7 linked regions of the Canis lupus familiaris genome follow. The protein of the gene in region 3 interacts with the protein of the main gene of each other region in a biochemical or structural test. Links are inferred from orthologs where the notes say so. Each region holds a gene or a part of one and is shown on either strand. Other genes may lie near its edges.

Region 1 (3,713 bases), on a different chromosome or scaffold from region 3:
TTTCTCTTTTCATATATATACTTCAACAGTGGATGAAGGACGGTGAGTCTCAGCTCGATAGACCCGTCTGTCACCCGCCCTAGCATCCAGCGCTGCCTCTAGTCCTTACAGAAAGCACAGCTCTGGCCCTCGAACAACATAGGTTTGAACCGCGCAGGTCCACTTGTACATGGGCTTCTTTCAATTAACCCAGTACCATACTGTCAATGCTTTTTTTCTTGTAACTTTCTGAATATTTTTTTTTTTTGCTCTACTTACTTTATTGTAGGAATACAGTTTAGGATACGTATAACATACAACAGCTGTGTGCATCGATTATTTATGCCACCGGGAAGGCTTCTGGTCACCAGCAGGCTACTAGGTAAGTTTTTAGGGACTCAAAAGTTCTATGTGGTTTTTCAACTGTGCAGGGGGGTTGGTCCCTTTCAACTCTGTGTTGTTCAAAGGTCAACTATATAAAGGCCCTTACATACTACAGACATTATATCCATTTTACAAGTGAGTAAACTGAGACCCAGAGAAATTAAGGGACTTGCCTGAGAATTTGCTAGCTAAAGACAAAGCAGGTACTTGGATTCAGGAGTCTATCATATATTCTTTTCTTTTTATTTATTTATTTTTAATTTTTTTAGAATTTAAATTCAATTTGCCAACATAAAAAATACGGAACAGCTTCACAAATTTGCCTGTCATCCTTGTGCGGGAGCCACGCTAATCTTCTCTGTGTTGTTCCAATTTTAGTATATGTGCTGCCGAAGTGAGCACCGTATATTCTTTTCATTAAACTATAATGTATTAATGATCTTCCTATAAATTCCCGCCTTGGAACAGAATTTATGCAAAATACATTCAGTGGCAAGGTGTCTGTGTGGACAGAGAAGGTGGGTGTAGTAAGAGGTTTGCTCTACGTGGAATCCACACTCTTGTCCTCTCTGCACCCACATGCCCACCCGCACCCCGCATGGCCCAGCTGGCTCAGACATGCTCGTGGGTGTCACTGTCCCAGAGCAGCCCTCCCTAAACACCAGCTTGGCTCCCACTCCTCCGACTGGTTCAGCTGGCCCCTGTGTACGCTCTGTTACGACTGTTTTCCTCCAAAGCACGCTTGTCGATAAGCACTTGAACGTTTGCCACCGAAGTGTGTTTCCCCCCAGGCCCTAGTAGCCCCGAGCACCTCCTGCGCTGCGGGAGGGTGGATGTTACTGGTGTGAATGCTTCCACCAGTCCTGATGAACACCCACAGGGCTGTGCTTCCCGGAGGATGCATTACCTTCACTTCTGCCACCGAACACAGTAGCAATAAGGTTGGGAGGAAGATAATGCAAGAAAAGCAAATGACGTGAACTTTCCGTGGATCTTGATGAGAAAGAGCAAACCAAACAAAAAGGGAGTGAGCAGAGAAGAAAGAGGCTTCCTGACATAAACACAGGAAGGAGCGATTCATCTAAGGAGGAAGCGAAAAACAGCAGAAAAGTAATATAATCTTACGAGTAGAAGTTGGAAGATGTGGAATTTAAAATCGTAGTTTAAAAAATGAGACGGACACGAGGCCGAGGGAGACGAGAGAGCATGAAGGCGAGTGAGCAATACTCTGCCCTTTGGAAAGGCGCCAGCAGGTCGGGCATTCGAGGTCAGGCCGACCAGCAGAGGGAACAGCAGCCGGGCTCTTCCGCAGACGGAGGCCCAACAGCCGCGTCAGTGAACAGGCCGGAGCCAAACAGGCTCTGCGATCGCTCCCCAGCAGGCCCTGCCAGGGCAAAGGACGGCAGGCGTGGCGCTCCTTTTCTGCCTTTGACTAATGGCCGTGACAGCACGGCACGAGATGAGCGGGCTGGGTGCAACGAGTGACCTGTCCCCTGTCCCAGCCACAACTTTCCTTTGCTTCTCACATCCCTCCCTCCCACGAGGTTCAGCAGCTCGTTTCTTGTCTACTGATGGAGGACAGTGTAACAGGAGCTCTGGGATAGTAAGTTTTCCTCCCCTTTAACGTCATGTCATGAATAGGAGCAAAAACTCGGCAGTGCTCTAGGAGGGAGGGCTACAGGCTCCCATCTCAGGTCCCAGTGGCCCTTGTGCGGTCAAAAGAAGGCCTGGGATGGGGGTCCTTCCAGTGGATAAAATGCACACGTGCACATGAGAATTTTGGGATGCGGGGCCGGACAGGTGAGACTCTTGTGCCATCCCAGTACCAAGGGTGTTGTCCCCGGGGAAAGGGGGCTGACAGCCAAGGCAAACAGACTGGAATACACGAGGTCCCGGGGGAGGTGAGAGCTACCTTTTTACACTGAACACACTGCAAGGCGTACTGTTTCTCATAGCAGGGCACACAGAAGTTCTGGTTGTCCTTAGGGATGAAGCTCTTGGTACCGATGGGCTGCTGGCAGCGGTGGCAGGTGAAGCAGGTCTCGTGCCAGCTGCTGTCTTTGTACTCCATCTTGCGGGTACCTGGCACAAGGGGCAAGAAGACGGCAAAGAGCAGAGCTGACGACATGACAGGCCTGCACTCCCAGCGCCCCTCGTCAAGAACCTGCCACCACCTAGTTTTGTGACTGTGGCATCACTGTGGCTCTCAGAGGCTGGCCTCCAAATGGGACTGTTTGGGAGTGGGCAGGGATTGTGTATTTTTGGGGGTTCACTGCTGTACACCTTGCTCCCAGAACAGTCTCTGTGCATACTCGAGGTTTATTTGTCCAGCAGGGAGGTAATGAACGTTAGGTGGGAAAAGGATCTGTCACTCCATGTCTCAGTAGGCAAAGCAGAAAGAGCAAGCTGGCCTAGCTCAGACCAGTCCCAACGGAGTGGGACACAGCCCTGCAGCCAGTTAATGAGCACAGGATGAGGGACACCTGGGTGGCTCAGTGGTTGAGCATCTGCCTTTGGCTCAGGTTGGACCCCGGGATCCTGGGATCGAGTCCTGCACTGGGCTCCCTGCAGGAAGCCTGCTTCTGCTTCTCCCTCTGCTGCATCTCTGCCTCCCTCTCTGTGTCTCTCATGAACATAAATAAAATCTTAAAAAAAAAACAAAAAAAAAAAAACACCGGATGGAAAGTGGTGGTGCTGTACACGAACCTAGAGTGTCAAGCCTGATCCCATGAGGAGCCTCCACACCGACCGATCACCTTATATGGCCCGAGGTGTAAACCAAGCTGCTGGGTCTCCACGCTCTCCCCGCTGCACTGAATGCAGCTGTTAAAAGCCACAAGTGATGCCCGGATGGCTAATTTAGCAATTTTCTGATTCTAATCTTGTGACATTGCATTTCCTTTCGAATAACTGTTGTCGTGTGCTATGTTTATGTGATTTCTTCAAGTAGATGAAGAAGTCCTAGAGAACGGAAATGCTGTTTGGTTCACCCCCACCCCCATCCCCACCCACCCTTGAACCCGCCCCTGAGCCGGAGTCACAGCAAATGCTCAGGATTTGTGGACATTTTCCAATACTTTTCCAAGAGAATAAAAGTATGTGTATTTTACAGAAAGAGGTGACAGATGTGTTCAAGACAGATGCGTATGCAAGCACGCTTTGCAGGCAGCAACAAGGTACATTTTGCGGGGAAAGGAGGGTAAGAAGTGAAAAAAAAGAAACGTGCTCTGAATACCTGAGCCAGCCGGGGAGGACGGGGGTGCTGTGGCTGCGCACAGTCTGTGCCGCCCCCGTTTTGCAGCTGGGCTTTTCCTGGAGCGCAGCCGCACCTGCTCACTTCCTTCAATGGT
Region 2 (2,353 bases), on a different chromosome or scaffold from region 3:
GGCCGGAGGGAGGTTCCAGGGAACTATCCAATGGCTCAGTTCTGTAAACCTAAGGCTGTACTAAAAATAAAGTTTATCAACTATTTCCAAATGAAGGCTTAGGTTAGGGGGCAGATTCCATGGGTATTACGGTAGTCGAACACACCAGACTTCCCGATCTTCTGGATGGCAGGGGAGGGAGGAATCAAGGACAGCTGCCAGGACTTGAGCAACTGGGTGGCTGCTTGGGCCATGACAAGACAGGACGGCACCAGATAAGCCCAGTGAGCAGCTGGACTCTAGGCATCAGGAGCCCAGCAAGGCAGCAGCAGAGCATCTGCCTCCCGGCAGGGACCAGCCTCCAGAACTCCAGGGTGTCCCTCTCCCGGGCCCAAAGGTGCCGAAAGCCATCAGACATGGGAGCCCCACCTCCAAATCCCCTCTACTTGGCTCTGGAGGGCATGCGGTGCTGAAAGGCTGTGATGTCCATAACCACAGGGACACAGAGTGGCTGGAGAGAGGTGGCCCCCTGCCCGCCCCCCATGTGCATACTCGCACACACACACTCCCCAAGGCCACTGGGGGAAGTTTATTGGGAAACCTCGAGGGGCGAGCACAGGATGGGCAGGCCAGGGTGGGGTGAGGAGCAAGTGCGGGCTCTAGGAGGCAGAGTCAGAGGCCTCTGAGCTGTCCTTGACGTCGGTGCTCTCTGTGGTCTCGCTGACCTCGCTGAGATCCTTGCTGTCGCCCCCGCTATCGTCAGCAGCCAGGCCTCTCTCGTCACGACAGGCGTCTCCAGAGCTCGGAAGCGAGCTGCCCCTGCCCTCCACCTTGTTCTCGATGGCGCCCAGCACCACGTGTCTGCCTTTGTCCTTCAGCTCCAGATGCCTTCGCAGCTGCCGCCAGGAGCCCGGGGGGACGGAAGGGGAGACGGGACCTAAGTCTCCTGAGCACGCAGGCCCTCCGCCGCCCCCCACACCGGGGATGAAGGGCGGCAGGCCTGGGGCAGGAGACCTCTTGGGCCCTGCAATCTCCTCTGAGTGAGCGTGCACATGCCTCCCTCACACGGGCTGCCACCAAGCCCTCAGAACGGCCCTGGCCCCTGACGAGCCTGGGGCAGGACCCTGACTTTCTCCTCTGCCCAGCCGAGTCTCACCCCTGAGACCAGGGGACCAAGTTCTGGGCGCTTCCAAGAGCCTCCTCCCTCTCCTCTGCCATCACGCCTCAGACAGGACAGGCTTTGGCAGAGAAGGGAACATTGGGGTGATACCTCCTTTCCAGCCCGGCCATGGCCTGCTCCCTGCCTGGCAGCTGAGAACGTGAGGGGAAGGGGCGCCGACTGGGCAGCACAGCCTCTGAGGGCCTCCGACAGCCTCAGGCACCCCAAGGGACACTCACCTCGTCAGCCATCTGGGTGAGGTCCCGCTTCATTGCGTACGCGTCTTCCCCATCGGCGTAGTACTTGGGCTCCACTTCGCTGATCCTGGGGGCAGGAGGAGCAGAAAAGAACGACCCAAATCAGAGTTTCAAGTCTCCTCAGTCTTCTGGCATCCTGCGCTAGTGCGGCGGCACGTCTGTCTTCCCCGACGGAGACAGCAAGCCCATTCCGACGCGGCCTGCCCTTTGCGCTCGCCAGCAGTAGGCAGCAAGTAGCACCCAGCGCCTTGCACCCTCTGGGGGTTCCCACTGTCCTGTGTCCCTAAGCTGGCTCCCACACATCTGTTTCTGTGGTTTGCTGTGAGCCCAAGCCCTGAATTAGCTGTTCCCTTCCCTCCATGCCCTGTTCCCTGTCACTCACTGAGCAACCAAGGCTGACTCCTGGGCCTAGCCACTGGAATGGAGGAGGACGGGAGCTGGGACCTCTGGTTCCTGACAGTCACTGCCAGGCCCTGTGACCCCTGCTCTGAGGACCTTAGGGGCCAAGCCTGCAGTGGAGGGTGGATGCACACACTCGGGTACCCTGCCACTGGAAGGGTGTTGGACTTGATGGCCTAGGAGAGCTGGCCAGCCCCGAGACCCCACAACTGTTGGCCACCAGAGACTCTATATCCAGATCAGGACCCCTCCCTGAATGCCTTTCCTGGCGGTCCCTCTTCACCCCCAGCAAACTGAAGCTGAAGCTGTCTCTGGGGGTCCTCCACCCCCAGCCTCCCCTTCGAGCAGCTTCCACCACATCACTTCCCTGCCAGGTTTTCTCTGTTCTGCGCCAGGCACACAGAGACTCCCATGTCCTCAAGTGGGCTTGCCCTCATCCACCAGGATACCCCAGGGCTCTGCATCCCTCCACTGCTCTTGCCGATGACTCTACCTGCCTGGACGTGCTTAGGTTTCCATAGCACCACACTCTCCTTTCTCCTGGTTGCTCTCAGATGCT
Region 3 (4,475 bases):
TTTTGATCCTTTCCTCTTTTCAGGCATTTCCAATGATACTTATAAAGAAAACATATCATTCAGCAACGTAAATCTAAAAAAAAAGTAACATTAAGATCAGCCTTTAACTATATATCTTTATGGGTCTACTGACCAGTTAAAACGAAGTGCTTTGTCCATCAGTTGTTAACAGAGTTTAGTGCTATGTCATATAGACCATTGTTTTTACACATCAATATAAGTGAACCCACTACAGATATCCACAATAATGTATCCATAATGTACAACTCAAAGCTAGATTGTAACAATGTAATAAGGCAAACGTGAGAAGTAAAATAATCTCTTGTCAAGTGGAGATAGTAGTGCAATGATGCTTTGAACTCAAAATACATTCTCTCCCGGTTAAAAGGCTGACATGACAGCTTTGAAATACATACTTTCAAATCCAAAGAGTGATTACGTTTTTTATTCAGTGGATTGCAAGGTCAGGGTAGCAGACAGACAATACAGGCCGCCACCATACCCAGTTCAGCCTCCCTGCCCCAGACTGGGTGGTGGTGGGTTTGGAGAATATTTCCTCTTTTCAATCAACACAGTGAGTTACAGGCAGTGAGTCTCAAACTAAGGGTTGTCTTCCCTCTCCCCCCCCCCCCCCCCCCCCCCCCCCGTCTAAAGATTATTCTTGACCCTTTTCCAAACAATGAGGAGGTAAAATGGAAGTCCACCTAAAGCCATTTCCTCCTCTTCCCCTGAAATTCTGGTTTATGCGCTTTTATTAAATAAAGCCACTTTCACCTATTTGTAAATGCTAAAATCATTTCGGATTTTAAGATTTCCCTGCTGCCTTAACTACTTCCCTTGAGAAGTTTACAGCATGAGGAGTTTGTTTGCTTTCCATGTTTTAATTTGCATTTACTCAGTAACCAAACTTCATCACCGAGAAACTTGGTGGACAAGGCGAGTACCCTTGTGTTCCACGGCAAAGAGGCCGGTCGGTGACACGGCCCGGGGTCGCAGAACCGGGCAAGAAAACCCCCACTGCGAACACATCTAAGCAAAGGGTCGACAGCGTTTGCTGCCACGACGCAAAAAGTCTGCTTTGTTGGACTGGACGTGTGTGTGCAGAGCTGGCGGCAACCCTGCACGACGCCGCCACGGGGAAGAGAGAGCGCGAGCGAGCGGGAGACTCGCTGCCCCGGGAAAAGGAAATGTGATGCAGTCTTGAGACCCAAAACCCGAAATCCCTTCTCAGCAGCGCCTCCCAAAGCCAGCCGCCGCTTTCCCTGGAAGTAGGCAGAGCGTCCCCAACCCAGGTTGGCCGCACCCCAGCTCCTTTCTCTTTCCACCGCAGCTGCACACAGACGAGCACGTGAGCGCGGCGGCGCGTCCCAGCTGTGCCTCAGCTGACCAGCTCCCGATTGGCTGAGACGGGCGTGGGCTGGGGTGGGACTGGCCGCCTGCGCCGCTCGCCATTGGCTGTCGGGGAACCCGCCTCCCCCTCAGGTGAGGCGGGCTTGCGTGAGCGCGAGCCGGGCTCCGCGGGCGGGCGCGCCCCCGACACACTCTCCTCCCCCTGCCCCCCCGCGCGCGCGCCCCCGCGCGCGCCTCCGCCCTTGCCCGCCCCCTGCCGCTGCCTCAGCTCCTCAGTGCACAGAGCCGCCTCGTCTGAGGGGACGCGAGGATCGGCCTGGTCGCCGCCGCTTGGGCCAGCGCGTCGGCTCGGGCCTTGACAAGCCGCCCGAGGGGAGGCTCTCCGGAGCCTAGAGCTGGACCCTAGCGATCGCCGCCCGCCCTTCCTGCCCGCGTTCTGCGAGGGGTTTCCCGCCTTGCACCTCCCACCTCGGGACGTGCCTCCGCTCCCCTCGTCGCGTGCGGAGGGAGCCAGCGCTTAGGCCGGAGCGAGCCTGGGGGGGCTACCGGCCGGGAAGGCTTCGCGGGGACCGATTCGCCATGGAGGGCGCCGGCGGCGCGAACGACAAGAAAAAGTAAGCCCATTTCCTCCGCCCGCCGCGTTCTCCGCAGGCGCCCGCGTCCGCCCGCCCGCCCGCCGCCGGGGGCTCGCGGGCCGGCTCGGCGTTCCGGGTGTGTGTGTGGGGGGGGGGGGGGGCGCCTTTTTGTTTCTGCCTCTTCTCCCCTCCCCTCTCTCCCCCAGCCTCGCCGGCCGGGCTCCCCCGCTGCCCACGTCGCCATCTTGTCGTGGGGGGTGGGAGACGCATCGAAAGTGCTTTCAGGGTCCGGGGGCTGAGCCCCGCTAGCCGTGGCCTCCCGGCGCCTGGGCCTCACGCCGCCGTCCTGCCGGCCCGCCTCGAACCCCCATCCGGGCGGACTTCCCCTAGCCCGGGAGCCCCGGGAGGAGAGACGAGCCGCGGCTCCGTCGCCGCCGCCGCTTGCACCCGAGCTTCCGCTCCTTCCCGCCCCCATTCTCTCCGGTTCCATTGAGAGCTCGGCCCCGGGGCGGCCCGCGCACGCCGGCCCCCGGCTTCCCAGGGGGGCCCGCGGCCCTGGGGCTCCGACCGAGGGGCTCGCCTGCTCGGACGCGGGCTCGCGTGAGGTGGACCAGCCGCGGCGGGGGGCTTGGCCTTTGTCGCCGCGGCCCGAAGATGCTAACTTTTACTTCGCACGTGCGGGTTTTGTTTTGTTTTGTTTTGTTTTGTTTTAATCGCCTTGAAAAACTCGTCCGGGCCGAGAGAGTTAACGGGAATTTGGAGAAAGGGTTTAAACATACTAAAGGAGAACCTCGGAATTGGGTACTTGGCGTTTATATCAGCTGTCAAGAGAGTTCAGACGTTATAAATTAATATGTGCCTCATTCATTCCCGAAAGCGTCTTAGTGGAAAATGTAGCGGCTGGCTGAATTTAGGCAAACAATATTAATGAGATTGGGGGGCGGTGGGGGTGGGGAAGAAATGTGTGTGACCGCAGCAAATGAAACGTAGCATCCAAATTTTTAGAACCGTCTCCCTTTCATGAAGCTGAAGTATGTTAAAGGCAGACCTAGTTATACCTGACGTAAATGATCATCCTGTTAGAACTTAATGCAAGTTTTTAATGCACCTTAAAGTTTGAGTCTGAGTGGTACATTGTAGGATAAAGGATTGTAAATGGAACCAGTGGGATCAAGAGTGATCCACCACCACCCCCTCCCCCGCCGGCACAATTTGGTACACTTTTGGTATTTTAACCTTTGTGGAAAACATTTTAAGGAATTGGAGGTTTGTAATAAAGAGTTGTGGTTAGTACCCTGGTTTGACTCCTTAAAAGTCGTTTTGCTCTTCTAGGGGAGATTAAACTTCCCCAATCAGTGTCAGCGCAAGATAGGCTTGTTTGTGTTGTTGCTATTTCGTGGGTACATTTTGGTCCTCCTTTGGTGGAATGATAAAGTCTCAGTTTGTGTACACCAGAGAAAGTTCTTATAAAATTCAAAAAGTGAGTGAACAGGACTAGACTTAATTCCAAGAGTTGACAGGAATTAATTGCAATCAATTTTGCAGAAGTGGTTACAGTGCTTTTGATGAAATGATGAGGCTGCTAGATTATAAACGTAAAGCAGATTATCTCCGTGTAGTGTCAATTTTCAGTCCTTATTATATGCTGAATCATACTTAATATTGTGCATCAAGTTATGCGCCAATCGCTTCCTTTTTTCATGTGCAATATTCTGTTCATTTCTCCTTTGCACTTCATCAGCTGGGATATCACAAGCAGCATTAATAAAAGTGAATTAATTAGTTACTGTGCATCACCCCCAATTCTAAACTCATTCTTAGATTTTGTTCAGTCCTATCTGTTACTTTCAAAATACTCTCATTTGAAAATTTAGCAAATTTGGATCAGTTTGAGTCATATTTCTTAATATAGAGGTTCTTATAAGTTAAAATTAAGTTAAACACTTAGTAAACAGCCACTCAGCTTTTAGATGGTATTTGTTAAAGGTGTCTGGTTTTTATCATTTTCTAACTAATACTTTTAAACTTTTTGAAAGAATAGCTGAGACATTAAGGAGCAAGGTATTTTCTCCTTACAGTTTTTCCATTTTAAATGTGCTCTAGAGCCCAGGTTGGGGAGACATATTTGTCTTCCTTAAAGAAGGTCTAGGAAACTCAAAAACTGAAGCATTGTAAGATATCAGAACAGAGGATGGATATGGTTATAATGAGTTTAACAGGGAATTTCACGTTGATTCCTTAGCAGTAGGTAGGGGCTGGACTTAATAGCACATTAATACCGATTTTTAGATTTCAAAGGACTGTCAAGACGTTCATTGTTCTCTTACAGGTTTCAGGCCAGACTCCTTCAGTATCCAAAACCGGTTATTGGATCATTAAAGTAAAATTTCTAAGCAAGGACATCTCTTAACATCTTTAACTTTTGGTTATTAAAAGTCAAGAAACTTTAATTTGTTAGTAAGCCTTTTTTTTTTTCTTGTTACAATTATACTTTGACTTTTCCCCCCTTTTTTTGAAGAAGAACAAGCCTGGTAGCTGAGGCATAGGATC
Region 4 (3,642 bases), about 34 Mb from region 3:
GAGGGCTTTACTGATTAACGGATTACCACTCACCAGGCACTCAGGGCCTGCAGAGCGCCAGGGAACCAGCCTCGCCCCCCAGGACACAAGGCTCCCAAGTTCTCTCCCAGCCCGCTCCCCCAGGTTAACACGGTCATGGCTTATATGGGACCTTAGCCTCCAAGTCACCTGCTACTACCCACTTTCCAGGAACATGTTATTTTCGGATTGGCCATTGCTGCCCCTGCCCCAAGCTGGTTGGTTCTTAAAACCTGAGCTCAAGGGGCAGCCTGGGAGGCTCAGCAGTTTGGCGCCTGCTGTCAGCCCAGGGCCTGATCCTGGAGTTCCAGATCAAGTCCCATGTCAGGCTCTCTGCATAGAGCCTGCTTCTCCCTCTGTGTCTGTCTCTCATGACTAAATAAAATCTTTAAAGAAAAAAAAAAAAAACAAAAACACACCTGAGCTCAAGCTCCCCCCACCTCAGCACCTGCTGCTCACAGGAGTCTCAGCCACCCCTCCACAGAGCTCACCTGAGACTCAGTAAAGAACCAGGGAGTAAGGATTTCAGGTGGGATGGCAGTAAGGAGATTTGGTAAAGAACTCAAGATATTCAGGAGGCTGAGGTATTAAGGAACTATATTTAGGACATAAAGCAGATTTTACAAATACTACAAAAAAAGCAGCTTGGACATGAAAACCCTAGGAAGAAAATAATTATCCATGAGAAACTGGAACACAGGACACAGGATGCACGTTGTGGGACGCTCCCCAGTATGCTCACCACCCCGCGGCTGTCACTGGAGCGCACACCGCAAGGTCGCTAATAAGACTTCAAGGTGTCAACGTCCGCCACCTCCCTCATCCCTAACACATGCCAACACTAAAGTTTTTACATCCTGTGGCTGCCCTGTCATCTAGAATGCCCACTTCCCCCCCCCCAAAACAAAACATTTTCACAGAACTTTTTTTAATTTGTTTGTATTTGTTACAACCTCTTAAAGCAGAATGTGACTTGAGCACTACACATTTTCACTCACAAAACTTGTGGAGTTACTTCTTGAACAGCTTTACAACACGCCTAAAGAGGCTTAGAATCTCGCTACTCTAAACAACGCTCTTCTTTGGAAAACAAGCCCTATCCATGGCTACTCCCATCCAGTTGGTTCAGTTTCACTATTAGTTTCTAGAGGCCTGGTACATGCAGTTGAGAACTACAAGGGACAGAAGATTTAAAAAGTAGATCCTAGAAGGTGAAAGTTGTTTTAACCAGTATTTCTTCTTTTACACATCAAGGTACAGCTCAGAACACCTCAGTGACAAAAAAACACTTGGTCTTACTACGGAATCCACACTTGAGACCACACGGCTAACATTAGGTTACGTACACCTTACAACATAGGTTACCTTGTCCGGTTAAAATAAGCCAGCATGGGACTAGGAAAGAAAAACTAGCCGAGCTTTAGTTCCTACACGTCACAGTATCACACTCAAACAAAAAGAAATCTTATCTTCCCCTTAAGTAGCTATATTGTCATGCCTTACAGATTCTTAAAATGTTAACAAAAATAAAGAAAAACATCCTTGAAAATATATTATCAGAGGGAATGAAGATAAAGTATTGAATACATATACAAGTAATTCTCAGGGCAGCACTTAATCGACTTCTTCCATGCGTGACGTGTCGTCATCACCTTCGAGGGGCGGCATCTCCTCACTCACCGCAGCACTGCTATCGTCAGCTGTGGGGTCATCTTCGTCGATACCTGTTTGGACACAAAGCCCTCTCATTGGATTTCTCGAAGCCAGCTAATTAATGAGCCTAACAGCGGGTCTATACCTAACTTCAAAGAGTGAGCAATTCCCTGGGAGTGAAAACCACTTTCATTTTTTAGCCTTTCTGATCAAAAAGCCCTGTAACATCCTTAGGAGAAAACTTTAAGAGGTCACCCAAACCGGATCTGACACCCCCCCAGAATTGTTTCAGGAGCCAAAGGTCACACACCACTGTATCATGGGAAGCTTACCGAGCCCAAGCTTGATCATCCTGTAGATCCTGTTAGCATGTGTCTGGGGATCTTCCAGACTGAAGCCGGAGGACAGGAGAGCGGTTTCATAGAGCAGGATGACCAGATCTTTCACAGACTTGTCGTTCTTGTCGGCCTCTGCCTTCTGCCGTAAGGTCTCGATGATGGAGTGGTCAGGGTTTATCTCCAGGTGTTTCTTTGCTGCCATGTAACCCATGGTGGAGTTGTCTCTTAAGGCTTGGGCCTTCATGATTCTCTCCATATTTGCCGTCCAGCCATATGTGCTTGTGACAATGCAGCACGGGGAGGTCACCAATCGGTTTGACACGACCACCTGTAACCAAAGCATGAGGTGAGAAATGGACCTGGGAAGATTCTGCTGCCCTAACTTCTCATTTTTCAGTACCTCTATCCGCTTTATTAAAATGAAACCTAAGGACTCCAAGTACTGTATTCACGAATCAAGAAACACCACCTACAAACTTAAGAACTTTCTTCCTCCACATCCTAACTCTTCCCAGACCTTAACAAAACTGTAGAGTTTTCTCAAAGTAGAAAAACCTGATTTTCTATTTGTATAGAAATTAAGAAAAACCTATGGAGAAGCTTGGGAAACCCCCACGGGCACTCCACAGAACACCCACCAGCAGGAGACCCAGGCACACTGAAGCACTGTTCTCACACACCTTTTCTACTTTTTTCTCCAAGATGTCCTTCATGATCTTGCACAGATTTTCAAACTTTGTTTTTTTCTCCTCCTGTTTCTTCTTCTCTTCTTCGTCTTCTGGAAGTTCCAAACCCTCTTTGGTGACTGACACCAATGTCTTCCCCTCAAATTCCTTAAGCTGTTGGACACAGTACTCATCGATGGGTTCGATCATATAGATCACTTCCAGGCCATGCTTCCGAAGACGCTCCACAAAGGCAGAGTTTGCTACCTGGTCCTTGGTCTCACCTGAGGTGTAGGTAGAAAGTTACAGAACTTTAATAGGAAGTAGTTTCATTTCCTTTAGACTTGTACTTGGTCTAGCCAGACCTAACCACACAAGGGAGCCCAGCCCACATGGTCCTGCCTAGGCTAGTCCCTACAGGCTGACGTGTAAAAGCACGTGTGTAGAGAGTACACACTCTTACCTCCTAGGAAGTTGGAAGAACAAGCTGATTGTACACCTGTTCTTACCTGTGATGTAATAGATGTGTTTCTGGTTTTCCTTCATTCTAGTGCAATAATCCTTGAGAGAAACCATCTCATCACCAGAAGCCGACGTGTAGTATCGTAACAGCTCTGACAGCTTCTTCCGATTTTGAGAATCTTCATGTATTCCCAGCTAGAAGAGAACATTAACTTTGAATTTTCTCTGCATTGAAAAAAAAAAAATCGCTTAAAATTTGACAAAACACAAGGACAACCACTCCTAAGGATCAAATGTGTTTACACATACCTTGATGTTTTTCGAGAACTGCTCGTAAAACTTTTTGTAGTTCTCTTTGTCTTCAGCCAGTTCGGTGAAAAGTTCCAAGCACTTTTTGACCAAATTTTTTCTGATAACTTTCAAAATTTTGCTTTGCTGCAACATCTCACGGGAAATATTTAGAGGAAGATCTTCAGAGTCCACCACACCTCTAATGAAATCTGAAA
Region 5 (4,401 bases), on a different chromosome or scaffold from region 3:
GATTAATAACTACTCCAAAACAAGGAAAAGGTACCGAGACAAAAAAACAAAAAATCAAGAGAACAAATCAGAACCAAAAATAATAAAGTGACGGATAGACAAGATGGGAAGGATACAAGACAAGCATTAGGATGGGAAGCATAAGAAAGATGGAAGACAGGACCCTCCCTCCTCCCCTAGGCCAGCATACAGGCAGCCAGTGCCACCCTCGGGAAGCTGTCCTTGCCACAGATGCCACAGTACGGCACATGGGGTACAATGTAGTCCAGCACAAGTGCAGCAGGCAGCACCTCCTCCCTCAGCCTGGCACTGGCCTCACCACCGCCACCCTCCCCACTCCTCCTGGGAGACAGAACAGACAGACCAGAGGACAGACCAGAAACGACTGAAAGGAGAGATGAGAGAGGGATGGATGAAAAGATAGGGGATAGGAGAAAGAATAAGTGCACAACCCCCAAAATCCTCCCAGGGAGGGAGAGCCCAAATCAAACTCCAACACCAACATTCACTCCACTAGAGCTGCCTAAATCCTTTTGTGACCCCAGAAGCCTATCTTCAAGGGCACTGATGCTCAAAGCACCAGGTCTCCAACAAACAAGTACTGGGGGGCCCCCCTCCACACAAGGCCCTCCAAGTCTTACCTTGGTGCGCCCGTTGATGACATAGCCACCTAGGCGCCCAGCGCAGTGGCGAATCACAGCATCCACATGGGCCATGAGGACCCCAATGCTTCGGCAGCCCGGCTCATGGCCTTCCACCCAGGCAATCTGGTCCCCACGAATGCTGCGTGGCGGGATAGCCCGCTGGCTCACCAGCTGCCCGTCACGCAGGCGCCCGCTCCGCTTCAGGGCCTCCACCTCAGCCAGCACGCAGCCACCCAATGCCGCCCCCAAGAAGCTGTCCTTGACACAGATGCCATAGTACCGCATGCAGGGCACAATATAGTCCAAGGCCAGGCGCTCTGGTGCGGCGGGCAGCACCTCCTCCCGCGGCCCCACGCTGGCCTCTCCATTGCCACTGCTGCAGCCCATGCCGCCCTCCCCTTCGGCTTCTGCCTCCCGGTTCTCCTGCCTGGCCCAGGACCGCTTGCTGGGTGCTGGGGCATCCCCACCATCCTCTGCCCACTTCCGTTTGGGGGCCTCAGGCCGGGCACCCTGGGCGGCCAGTCGCTGGCACCCCTTGGTGACCAGTGCTGCAGCGCCCTCACTCTGCAGCGGGCGCAGCTCGCCACCATCCTGCCCGCCGAAGCCCTCCCGCAGGGGGCTGGCTGTTGTGGAGGTGGCTGTGGCCCTGGGGGTCCCACTCCCCGCCGAGGCCTCACCAGGTGCTCCTGGGCGGTGGTAGGAGGGTAGCAGTGGACAGGGCAGGTAACTCTCCACCCCCATCCTGGCCCGGCCAGGCTCCAAGGGCTCTGACACAGAACCCGGCAACTGAGGAAGAGCCTGACTCAAGGGCTGTGGCTGGCACGGGCTGTCCATGGCAGCAGTGTCTTCATCCCCCGGGCATGGAGGGCACGGCCCGGGCCCATGGTGCCACCCTCCTCCGCCTCCGCCTCCTCCACTTGATGCAGCCGGGGGCCGGGGCAGCTGAGCCTGGCGTAGGACAGGGTGAGGCAGGGCAGGCAGCAGAGGCTCTTCTCGGGCCCTGAGGGTGCTTGCTGGTCCCCAAGTCCTCTGCTGCCCCTAGGGGCTTGGGAAAGGACCCGTCAGGGTGGCTGAAGGGCAAAAGAGAAAAAGGAATGTGAGAAGAGCTAGAGGCACTCCAGCTGGGGTAGAGGTGAAGGGTAGCAGGGGCAATAGAGAGGAAGGCAGACTTGGCTACACAGACACCCCAAACCCGAGGCCACATTGTGAGAGAAAACCATGGGAATTGGGGAGGGGGGTGACAATCACGGAGAGAGGAGTGAGGCTGGGGAGATGACCCAGAGACACAGAACTGTGGTGGGGGCTGCGGGAGAGCATCCTGAGAAGAGAGAGAGAGAAAAACAGAAAGGACAGAGAAGACCTAAAGTAGAAAAAGAATGCTGGAGCAGTGGGGGAGCAGTGGGGAGCAGGAGATCGGCCTGGGGATTCCAGACACGCACGGCGGGAACGGGGGGCTCCACACACACAGCAAACCGGGGAGTCCAGAGACAAAGAGAATGGGGGGCCCAGAAGCGGAAAAGCCGACCGGGGAGAAGCTGGGAGGGCGGGCCTGAGACAGCGGGACAGAACGGGGCGGAGGGGTCAACCTGAGCCCAACGAGAGGAAGCCTGCCGGCGGCTCACACACACCCAGACGGAAGGGAGGGCCTAAGACAGACAGACAGACGGAAGGCAGCCGCGGGAGGAGGGTCCACGGCGACGCGGGGGGAGGGCGGGGGAGGGTTCACGCACTCGGGGACAGGACGGGGGAAGGCGGCCCCTCCCAGCCCCCTTCCCAGCCGCCTTCGGTGCGGGCCTCCCCGCTCGGGGCGCTGGAGGCGATCGCGGCCGGGCCGGGGGACCGCTGGGCCCCCGCGCCCGCTCCCCTCCCCCCCTCCCGTCCGCCGGCACGCGCCCTCCGCCCCCACCCCTACGCTCCAACGGCCGGCACTCAGCGAGCCGGGCGCGCTCCCTCCCCCACGCCCTCCCCCCTCCCTCCCTCCCTCCCCCGGCTCGCCGCGCTCCGCCACGCCGGGCCGCCGCGCGTCCCCACACCCAGCCCGGCTCGCGCCGGCGCCCCGCCCCGAGAGCATTCTTCGCTCCCTTCGCTCCCCGCTCCCTTCCCTCCCCGAGCTCTCCTCACCGAGCTTTTTCCTCCGGCCTCGGCGCCGCCGTTTGTGCCAGCCGCCCAGCGCCGCACAGCGCGCCATACCCCGCCCCCACCTCCCGCGACGCTCCGCCCCCGCCTCGCCCGGTGGGCACGTGACCGCGCCCGCGGAGGACACCGCGCGTGCGCAGGCGCGAGCCGCGCGGGGCGGAGCAAGGTAGCGCAGGACAACCCCCCCCGCCCCCCGAGAGAGGGGAAATGGGTCGGTCGCCAACGGGAGGCTCATTTGCGTGCTGCGCTCCGCCCCTTACGGGCGAGGAGCGGGAAGGCCTGAGGGAGTTCAACGGTTAGGCCAAACGACGTGGGAGGGGCATGCAAATAGCGTTATTTGCATGGGCCGGCCCACCCCTCGGAGCACCGAGCGGTGGAAAGTGACATGCAAATAATATTATTTACATGGGCAGTCCCGCCTTCTCCCAGCCCCAGAATAGGACTGTGATAGAGAAATGTCAAAAAAAAAAAAAAAATGTCTGCGCATTTGGTAGAGAAACGTATAGAAACGTGCACATTAGTCATTTACTTAAGTACTTTTTATAAAGGAGGGAAAGAAACCGTGGAAGGTCCCTAAGGGAGGAAGACTGGAAGGGATGTGCCACAGTAAGACCAGCTCCACCCTGCCCTGTCGGGACAATTGTGAGAATCTAAATAAAGCAACCTAGGAAAGCTACTCAGAGTTCGCAGACAGGACATTTGTCTGACAGCCTCGGGTCTCGGAACATCTTAGGTGACCTAGCCTGGAAGGACTATGCAGATGAGGTTATCTAAATGCCCTGCCCCCTCCACCATCGCCAGGGCGGAGCGGGGGTGCGGGGAAGAGGCAGCAGGCTCTGGGGTCAGGCCTACCTTGTGAGTGGGTTGGTGCTGACTTGGGGATGGCAGAGAAGCTGGAAGTGTCCTGAGGGGGGGGCTGCACCTGTCCCTGGCAGAGTACTTGCAAGTATGTCAGTTCACCAGGACACAAGAGATATACACCAGTATCAAGTATGCACAAGTCTCAAATATGCGCAAGTTGCACAAAGGCCCACAGAGTCTTCGGGAGCATACTCAGGGTTCATGGTCACACGCAGGCGTGTCAAGGGTGCCAAATTCACACAAGACACACACAGACCTCAGGGGCATACACACAGTGTCACACACACAACAGTCAGACACGGCCTGGGACTTTCTAGCATCAAACATGCATGGGTACTATCTCCTGGCCTTAATTTTCATTCCCTGGCCTTGGTCCCAAACAACACCAGCCTCATGGTTACAATCACTAAAGACACAAAGTAGTCACAGGCAACAGTATCACACACAATCAGCACATATTCCTACAGGTACCATCATACAGGTCACAAACACAGGACATCAGCGCCCCACAGGTGGACTTCCAGCATGCCTGGTCACAACATGTGCAGTTAAAAATTCCCTCCACAAGACCACTGGAGTCATGGTGTACCCCCACACCATATCCAATCCAAAAACATGGCCCCCAAACACCATGACACATGGTTCTTCCATCAGGGAACTCTTCCATCTCCCCTCCCTCCCCATCACCCCAAAATAACAGAGGCCAAGACACAGGTGTAAACAATGCTTTATGGGGGTGGAGTGGGGACTGGACAGGCCT
Region 6 (4,312 bases), about 24 Mb from region 3:
TGCCTTTTAAAAATTTAGTTTCTACTGAAAGCCTGCTCAGTGAATGCAGCAGGAAACTGGGTTTATATCACTACTCTGGGAAGAGGATAGGGTAAGGCACTCAGATGAGGGAAGAGAAGAAGAAAGTTAAATTAACGTGAAACTAATATAAATCACACAGAAATGCACTGCATTTCTACCATGCTTTATTAAGACCCAAGGCCACAAAGCGAGGGAGAATTCTTTATACAAACAAATCAAACTTTTTATCTTCGACTCTTAATAATTGTTGGCTCAAGTCTGGTTTACAGCTGGTTCCAGTTGGCCACGGAATAGCCCAACCTAGAGGTGATTTTTCTAAAGGACAGGAATGAAAAGCTTTGTGCCAAAACAGCTCAAGAAAAGCCAGAAATCTAGGTATGGACAAGAGATGACTTTTCTCCTTTCAATTCAGTCACCTTCTGAAAGGGTTAATTGAGAAGCTATTTGTTCTACCCAGAAGATAATCTATAACTGAAGAATCTTATCTAGAGATCTTTTTCCTTACCCAGACATACAGTGTTTCTCCTCCAGTCTGTGGAGTCAATTTATAGTCAAAGCTAAATACAAATACTTAACTTTCAAATTTGTTAGTGACGACTTTCTACCAATTAATCCTGACCTCCCTCTGAGCAAATTACGTTCCTAGAACGTTGGGGGTAAAATTCTTAGCACCTGAGTTGCAATGAAACTTGCAAAACTGATAAGAAGCCATCTGCTCTTCCAGACTGAGGCAACAAGCACTTCTGTAACACTGAGGCTAGCCCTCCCCCCCCCCCCCCGCCCCCCATTCCAGCCCCAGGAGGCAAGGTCATTCAGTGCAAAAACAAAACTAACCAAGACAAATGGCTTTCTAATCACTAAAATGATAAAAGAGTAAAACACTTCCATGTCAATCTTGTACAGAGTCCAGGCAGCTGAGTTTTCCCCAAATCAAAATAAAACTTAGAAAGCAGCATTTTCTCCCAAGATTTACTTTATTTGCGTCTGATTAACAAGTGCTTTCAGACATTCTATTCATGTCCTCCTGGCTTTGAAAGGCATATAGTCGTGTGTTTCTCCTCTACTCTGTTCCCCCACTCCAATGGGTCCTTTCTACCCATTTTCAGTCTTTCACTTGCCCTTTACTAAAAGTATCCCCTCGGTCTATGAGGCAAATGAGACAATAAAGGTATGTTTTATCAAAGGGTCGATCTAAACTGAGAAATGGTATAGATATTGTTAAAGATTGGTGCACCTTTCTTCTCATGCTAGCATGCCCTGCCTCCTCCTGTGCTAAAGTTTTCTACGGCTCTGGGTGCACCTTGACCAGTCTGCAATAAAAGTGCAAATCACTCGGAACTGCCACTGGAGAATGGCCGGGTTAGCATTTGTAGAAAAGGCTGAGTAGCTGGACTATCCCAAAGTAACATACACAGACCAACATCGTGGTACCACGGCTCCCATATTTCTGCCAATCTACCTGGAAACGTTTCCAAGATAAATTACCACCCAGGGAGTCACTTCTGGCTGTGGTGAACAAAAACAGGGTTTCTTTCCAGAGGTACCTGACTACACTCTCCCCATCACTTAACTGGTTGTTTTGGGTAGATTTCTCCACCAATGGATAGTTCGGAAAGGGAAGGTGGTGGCGTAGGGCTCAGCAGCAGGACAGATTTTGCTCAGCCAGGGAGCCCGTCTAGTAGTGTGCAACAAGCCAAGGGCAGCACCAAGCCAAGGGCAGCACTCAAAAGTGCAGACCAGCTTTACTCTCTCTCAGGTCAAACTTGGTCACATCTGCCAAACTCCACACACCAAATGTCACCCTGAAAAACATCACAACTGTCTCCAGAATTCTTTAAGAGGAATACCCTCTGAACACAGATGAGGTACAGTATTAGGGGACTTTTAAAGTGGACACATCTAATATCATGACTTCGCACGTGTCTCCCATCATACGCAATGTTTCCAATAACCTGTCCCTCATCTGGACCTTTGGGAACCTCCACGGATTAAAACCAGCCCAGAAAACCGCAGCTTGCCCGGTGTGTACCACCCACGAGACCCACTGTTTCAGTTAACAGAAGGTCATGGTAATCATACACCTGAGTCCCTCAGCACGGATTTTCGCTGGGAGGCGGGGTGGGGGAGGGGGACCCGGACTGACTTCTTGCTCGTCGGTTAAAAGCTAAAGTTCACTCGCAGCCCAGCGAAGGCAACAGACACGGGCTCCGAAGGTCCCCAGTCCCCGGGCGCTACGGCGGCGGCGGCGGCGGCGGGGAGCCCGCGCGTCCTACCTTGGACCTTTCCTTGACGTAGTATTTGCCCAGCCGGCTCCCGCAGTACAGGACGAGCCTGTCGATGAGCGACAGGAGGAAGCTGATGGCCTCGCAGCCCTCCTCGTTGCCCCCGATCCACGTGATCTGGTCGCCCCGCAGGTGCCGCTTAGAGACGCCGGCGCGCGGCCCCGCCAACTGGCCGTCCCGCAGGGCCCCGTTGCAGTGCAGCTGCTTGACGCGTTCCAGGACGCAGTCGCCCACCACCTCGCCGAGGAAGTTGTCCAGGTAGCAGAAGCCGACCTCGTGCAGACAGGGCACGATGTACTCCAGGGCGATTTTCTCCAGATCCAGCCTCATGATGTGTCCCAGGGGCATCTCGCCCTCAGAGCCAAGCTCGGGGATCCCCAGCGTGCACCGAGACCCGGAGCGACCTGCGCGCGCGCAGCCGAGGCGCGGGGAGCGCGGCCCGGGGTTCAGCTACCTGCGGCGGCCACGGTCCCCGAGCCACCGCCGCGCCAGGGAGAGGGGAAAGTTGTTCGAAACTCTGGGAGGCGGGATCCCTTCCCCTTCCGAGACCGGTGGGAGCTGCGCGGGGATCCACGACCTAGCGCCGGACTGGCCCAGCGAGGAGTCGGCGGGCCCCTTTTGGAGATGCGGAGCCGCCACTGGTGCCGCGGCGGCCCCAGGCGGGGAGAGGCGGAGGTCCAGCCCCGGAGCCGGCCGACTCGGCGCGTCACGGGCCCCGCCCCCGGCCCCGCCCCGGCCCCGCCCCGGCCCCGCCCCGGCCCCGCCCCGGCCCCGGCCCGCCCCAGGCCGCGGCTCCGCCCCGCCCCCCGGCCCCGCCCCCGGCCCCCGCCCCGCCCCCGGCCCGGCGCCCACTCCCCGACTACTGCTGCCCGGCGCCAGCCTCGGTTGTTTGTGACTAAAGGACTGGAAAACATACGGAATTTTTAGAATGCTACCGATTTGCATATGTTTTGCATAAAAGCCCATAACAAACTTGAAGGATCCCAACTCTGAAAATGTAAATGAAATTAGCACAGTTTACTGCCACGGTCTGGGCTGGTCACCTCTTGAACAGAATAACAAACTCAGAAACAGATACGTGTGTTGAACAGTGATCCAGGTCTAGCTTTACCTGGTGCCTTGCCTTATTCCTCTTTCATCTGCTGTTTGACCCAGGTCAGGAGACTCAAGCCACTCAGAGAGTGGGATAAATCCAGTTTAAACGAAAATTAAACATTCCCCTAACCCTCGTGTCCCCACCCCCACCCCCCAAAGCCCTGTGTCCTCTCCCTGGGGGGGGGGGGGGGGGACGGGAGAGAGGAGGAGGAGATGTGTACAATGAAGAAATGCTGGATATTATCTGATTGAACCCTGAAAATGCTGTATTTTGCTTCGCTGCATGTTTTCATCCACTTCTCTTTCAAGCTTCTTATTAAAATAGGATGTTCTGAACCTCTGCCTTCAGAATTAATCACATGCTCATGTAACAGCCATATAAGTATACCCCCCAAAAGACACACTAAATTCTAGTCTCCAATCTCACCTTTTCTCCAAGAAACTACACTTTACTCAGGAGGGATGGACACCACCTAAAAGACTTTTTTAGTTATTCAAAGGTAAGCTGATTGCTTTATGGGTTTTTCATTCCCTTTCCTACCAAACACCAGAGATTAGAATCAGGGGGAAAAGATTCCTAAATTGCATGCAAAGTCATTTCCATATTTTAAATTTTACATTACATTGCGTTCAGGTTCTTCATTTCAGTTGAACAAAGGAATGAACAAGTTTTACAGGTATCATGTATTTTGTACACAACCCTCCACAGCTTTTTCACTTTTATTCTCCTTCCAAAAGCCCTCTCCGCTCTGCATGCTAAGGGAGAGATATGAAAGGAAGAGACGAATGAAATCCAAGCCAAGAATAAAGAGTAGAATAGGAAAGGCGCTGCTGCTACATGATGGAAAGAAGCACTCAGGGACCCTTGGTGGAGAAAGAACCTGGGGGATGTTCAAGAGGGAGCAGTCAGTAAG
Region 7 (4,307 bases), on a different chromosome or scaffold from region 3:
CAATGAAACAAGAAATTCACAAATATGTGGAACCTAACAACATACTCTTACTTTTAAAAAATATTTTATTTATTTTATTCATGAGAAACACAGAGAGAGGCAGAGACACAGGCAGAGGGAGAAGCAGGCTCTCTATAGGGTGCCTGATGTGGGCCTCAATCCCTGGAACCTGGGATCATGACCTGAGCCAAAGGCAGACACTCAACTGCTAAGCCATCCAGGCGTCCTCATACTCTTAATAGATGGAGGACTCATACTTCTTGAGTTTAAAATATTTTTTTTTCAATTTTTATTTATTTATGATAGTCACAGAGAGAGAGAGAGAGAGAGGCAGAGATATAGGCCGAGGGAGAAGCAGGCTCCATGCACCGGGAGCCCGATGTGGGATTCGATCCCGGGTCTCCAGGATCGCGCCCTGGGCCAAAGGCAGGCGCCAAACCGCTGCGCCACCCAGGGATCCCCACTTCTTGAGTTTAGAACTTACTACAAAGCTATAGTAATCAGAATAGCGTAGTACTGGCATAAGGATGTTTACATATCAATGGAATAAAATTCAGAGTGTAGAAATAAATTCACACATCTATGGTGAGCCAAATTTTAATAAAGGTGTCATGTTCATTCAATGGAGTAAGAATAGTCTCTTCAAAACAGTGTGGGGGAAAAAAAACAAAAATAAAAACAAAGAAAAACAAAACAAAACATAGTGTGGGGACAACTAGATTTCCAGATGATGGACCCCTAGCTTACACCATGTACAAAAATTAACTCAAAATGGATCAACAACCTAAATGCAAGCCAAGACCATAAAATGCTTAGAATAATACACCGAGAAAGTTTTTTATGACTTTTCATTTGGCAATGGATTCTTTTACCTATGACATCAAAAGCAGAAGCAATAAAAGATATTAACAGAAAGTGAAAAGAAAACTTGTAGCATGAGAAAAACTGTTTCCAAATCATGTTTGATAAGGATTTAATATCAAGAATATATAAAGAATTTCCCCTCCTCCCATTCATGCTCTCTCTCCCTCACACTCTCTCTCAAATAAAATATCTAAAAAAAAAATTTCCACAACCCAACAAAAAGACAGACAACCCAATTTAAAAATGGGCAAATGGGGATCCCTGGGTGGCGCAGCGGTTTGGCGCCTGCCTTTGGCCCAGGGCGTGATCCTGGAGACCCGGGATCGAATCCCACGTCGGGCTCCCGGTGCATGGAGCCTGCTTCTCCCTCTGCCTGTGTCTCTGCCTCTCTCTCTCTCTGTGTGACTATCATAAATAAATAAAAATTAAAAAAAAATAAATAAATAAATAAAAAAATAAAAAAAAAATAAAAATGGGCAAATGATTTGTGCACTGCTCACTAAAGAAGATATGTAAATGCCAATATGCACATGAAAAGATGCTCAACAGGGGCGCCTGGGTGGCTCAGTCAGTTAAGTAACCAGCTCTTGATTTGGGCTTAGGTCATGATCAGGGTCTGTGGCTCCACAGTTCAGCAAGGAGTCTGCTTGGATTCTCTCTCTCCCTCTACCCCCCCCCCCCGCTTATATTCTCTCTAATAAATAAATAAAATATTAAAAAAAAGATGCTCAACATAATTAACCTTAAGGGAAATGCAAATCAAAACTACAATGAGATATGATTTCATATCTACTAGAACGACCACAATAAAAACAGAAAAAATACCAAGTGTTCTCAGGAATGTGGAGAAATGGGTATCTAGTGCATTGCTGGTGGGAATGTAAATTCATGACTTTGGTATATTTAAAAAAGAACTGAAAACAAGACTCAGATACTATATGCCAATATTCAATGTGGTATTATTCACAATAGTCATAAGTTGAATGGATAAACAAAATGGAGCATATACATACAATGGATTATTATTCAGTCATAAAAAGGAATGAAGGTCTGACACATAGATGAACCCTGAAGATAGCATTATAAGTGAAATAAGCTAGACACAAAAGGACAAGTGTATGACTCCACATTTATGAGGTACCTAGAGTAATCAAACTCAGAGACAGAAAGTAGATTAAAGGTTATCAGGTGCTACAGGGAGGAAAAAATAGAGAGTTATTGCTTAATGGGTACACAGTTTCTGTTTGGGGTGATGAAAGTTGGGAAATGGATAGTGGTGGTGGTTGCACAACAATGTAATATAATAAATGCTACTTAACTAGGCATTTAAAAATGGTGAATTCTGATATATTTACCATACAAAAATTTTATTATTATTATTTTTAAAGATTTTATTTACTTATTCATGACAGACACACACACACACACACACAGAGGCAGAGACACAACACAGGCAGAGGGAGAAGCAGGCTCTATGCCGGAAGCCTGACGTGGGACTCAATCCCAGGTCTCCAGGATCATACCCCAGGCTGAAGGCGGCGCCAAACCGCTGGGCCACCGGGGCTGCCCCTCACAAAAATTTAAATTGCAGCACACTTCCTCCAATTAAATCTGACAAAGAATCCCTGTTCTAAATCTTTTTTTTTTTTTTTTAAGATTCTGTATTTGTCTCTTTACATTCCTTCATTTCAGGGCCAATTATGTTAACCGTATTTTCTTATTTTTGTGTTCTTGATGTTTTTCCATTTCAAGCTTTACAGACCCAGGGAGAGACTGCCCCTCCCATGGCTGGTAATTCCTAAAGGGAACAACTTGTCCAACAGAATGCAAACTAACTAGTCCAAGGTCACATCTCCTCTATCTTACCTGTACACCCCAAAAAGCAATATTCCTCCATTTTAATTCATCCCTTGGTCAGGTAGTAGTAGGCAAGTAGAGACCACTCCTGTAGGCCAAAGCCCTATGGATTCATTCAAACTAGCCAATCCTAAACTGTTTATACTCTGCCCTGCCTTCATGGTTTCCCTCAGAAACTTTAGTAAAGGCTCTGGCCTAAATTGGCTTGCCCTTCCCCTTCTGCCTGGTGCTTTCTTCTGTGACCCGATACGCATGCAGTGGTTCTCTGATCTGTGAACCTAACAGACTTCTTTTACACCTCATTCCTGTCCCTTCCTGTGGCCAGAATGACTTTATCATAGCTTACCCCATACTGACATTTGAAAAACAATCTCAATATGTAAAAAACTGGTAAAAGTGAAACTGATTGGGGCATCTGGGTGGCTCAATGGATTAAATGGCCCACTCCTGATTACGGCTCAGGTCATGACCTCAGAGTTGTAATTGAACTCTGTATTGGGTATGGAGCCTGCTTGAGATTTTCTCCCTCTCCCTCCCACTCTCTCCCCCTTGAAAAGAAAAAAAAAAAAAAAAAGTGAGGCTGATTATGTTAACCCACAAGTAAGTAAGGCTTCCTCTAGAGGTATTTCCTAATTCTCTAAATTATTTTTTCTCTTTTTTTTAAAGTAAGCTCTCAGCTTACATGAGAACCCAACGTAGGGCTTGAATTCATGACCCTGAGATCAAGAGTCGGACAACTAACTGTCTGAGCCACCCAGGTGCCCCCCACTCTCTAAGTTGCTAACTGGAAACAGTTACTAAAAGTATTGCTAAAGGGGTGAAAAATAAGTTTTACAGGCAAACAGAACAAGTAATTCTAAGAGTACCCCCTTTCTGAAGTAGTTGGGGTGAGTGTAATGGGGAGTTTTTAAAAAGAAATCTCAAGATTTGGGCTGGTTCTTCAACCACGAAGTCATGTTGGGGGTAGAAATACAATAAGGACATAAATGGGAGAGGGGCAGGGAAGAGTCTTAAGAGAATCTGAGTGAAAGAAAACCGAAAATGGAAGCTGAAAAAAGTGCTGAATTCTGGAGGTAGAGAAACTGAGGAAATGAAATTTCAGAGAGGGTGCCTCTATCATTCTGAAAAGTAGCTTGGCAAACCAATCACAGCAGGTCTTAGAATGTAGGAGACACAACTATGTGGTGAAGCCCAAGTGAATTTATTATATAAAAAAAAATTGTAGGGGACTGCAGTGGCCTCCCTTTGGGGTTCCTGATTACCCCTGTGCCTGGAGACTAAGAGGCACAGGACAGATTTCTAAAGGCAGCACTGTGGATTGCTGTCCCCCATTACCTGACACATGGTTTTTCATGACTCTGAGCCTGGGCTCTCCCAGGGGGCGGTCTCCTCCTTCAAGCAGAGCTGACAGCAAAGCTGGAAGGAGAACCTGGCTGTGCTTCTTTAGTCACCATGGTGACAAGAAACTATTGCAAATATTTGCTTATGACTTCACTGGAGAAGCCAGGCAGGGGAGGTTAGATTGGAAGAAGGAACGACCACAGAAGCACATCTGGAATCAGCAACCAAAGGAATGTTGGACTCTC

What was found.
Region 1: the proteins of HIF1A (region 3) and FHL2 form a complex in vitro, tested with the Homo sapiens proteins (2 studies listed by BioGRID). The link is inferred for Canis lupus familiaris from reciprocal best matches to the Homo sapiens genes HIF1A and FHL2.
Region 2: the proteins of HIF1A (region 3) and NAA10 form a complex in vitro, tested with the Homo sapiens proteins (4 studies listed by BioGRID and IntAct, with this or other methods). The link is inferred for Canis lupus familiaris from reciprocal best matches to the Homo sapiens genes HIF1A and NAA10.
Region 4: the proteins of HIF1A (region 3) and HSP90AA1 form a complex in vitro, tested with the Homo sapiens proteins (4 studies listed by BioGRID and IntAct, with this or other methods). The link is inferred for Canis lupus familiaris from reciprocal best matches to the Homo sapiens genes HIF1A and HSP90AA1.
Region 5: the proteins of HIF1A (region 3) and EGLN2 form a complex in vitro, tested with the Homo sapiens proteins (3 studies listed by BioGRID, with this or other methods). The link is inferred for Canis lupus familiaris from reciprocal best matches to the Homo sapiens genes HIF1A and EGLN2.
Region 6: the proteins of HIF1A (region 3) and EGLN3 form a complex in vitro, tested with the Homo sapiens proteins (5 studies listed by BioGRID, with this or other methods). The link is inferred for Canis lupus familiaris from reciprocal best matches to the Homo sapiens genes HIF1A and EGLN3.
Region 7: the proteins of HIF1A (region 3) and KPNA6 form a complex in vitro, tested with the Homo sapiens proteins (2 studies listed by BioGRID). The link is inferred for Canis lupus familiaris from reciprocal best matches to the Homo sapiens genes HIF1A and KPNA6.

Annotation. Positions count from the first base shown.
Region 1 is NC_049231.1:39,109,753-39,113,465, reverse strand, and holds part of FHL2 (four and a half LIM domains protein 2), read right to left. Parts: intron 2,446-3,713; coding exon 2,276-2,445; intron 766-2,275; exon of another isoform or gene 658-765; intron 362-657; exon of another isoform or gene 269-361; intron 1-268. UniProt on the Homo sapiens protein: May function as a molecular transmitter linking various signaling pathways to transcriptional regulation. Negatively regulates the transcriptional repressor E4F1 and may function in cell growth.
Region 2 is NC_049260.1:122,964,403-122,966,755, forward strand, and holds the end of NAA10 (N-alpha-acetyltransferase 10), read right to left. Parts: intron 1,463-2,353; coding exon 1,378-1,462; intron 876-1,377; coding exon 639-875; 3' UTR 548-638; downstream 1-547. UniProt on the Homo sapiens protein: Catalytic subunit of N-terminal acetyltransferase complexes which display alpha (N-terminal) acetyltransferase activity. Acetylates amino termini that are devoid of initiator methionine.
Region 3 is NC_049229.1:36,895,001-36,899,475, forward strand, and holds the start of HIF1A (hypoxia-inducible factor 1-alpha), read left to right. Parts: upstream 1-1,639; 5' UTR 1,640-1,929; coding exon 1,930-1,964; intron 1,965-4,475.
Region 4 is NC_049229.1:70,497,831-70,501,472, forward strand, and holds the end of HSP90AA1 (heat shock protein HSP 90-alpha), read right to left. Parts: intron 3,637-3,642; coding exon 3,446-3,636; intron 3,332-3,445; coding exon 3,184-3,331; intron 2,959-3,183; coding exon 2,690-2,958; intron 2,338-2,689; coding exon 2,004-2,337; intron 1,743-2,003; coding exon 1,633-1,742; 3' UTR 599-1,632; downstream 1-598. UniProt on the Homo sapiens protein: Molecular chaperone that promotes the maturation, structural maintenance and proper regulation of specific target proteins involved for instance in cell cycle control and signal transduction.
Region 5 is NC_049222.1:113,782,912-113,787,312, forward strand, and holds the start of EGLN2 (prolyl hydroxylase EGLN2), read right to left. Parts: upstream 2,884-4,401; 5' UTR 2,766-2,883; intron 2,515-2,765; exon of another isoform or gene 2,231-2,514; intron 1,715-2,230; 5' UTR 1,479-1,714; coding exon 642-1,478; intron 1-641. UniProt on the Homo sapiens protein: Prolyl hydroxylase that mediates hydroxylation of proline residues in target proteins, such as ATF4, IKBKB, CEP192 and HIF1A. Target proteins are preferentially recognized via a LXXLAP motif.
Region 6 is NC_049229.1:13,056,710-13,061,021, forward strand, and holds the start of EGLN3 (prolyl hydroxylase EGLN3), read right to left. Parts: upstream 2,988-4,312; 5' UTR 2,652-2,987; coding exon 2,295-2,651; intron 1-2,294. UniProt on the Homo sapiens protein: Prolyl hydroxylase that mediates hydroxylation of proline residues in target proteins, such as PKM, TELO2, ATF4 and HIF1A. Target proteins are preferentially recognized via a LXXLAP motif.
Region 7 is NC_049223.1:68,448,704-68,453,010, forward strand, and holds the start of KPNA6 (importin subunit alpha-7), read right to left. Parts: upstream 2,853-4,307; 5' UTR 2,762-2,852; coding exon 2,731-2,761; intron 1-2,730. UniProt on the Homo sapiens protein: Functions in nuclear protein import as an adapter protein for nuclear receptor KPNB1. Binds specifically and directly to substrates containing either a simple or bipartite NLS motif.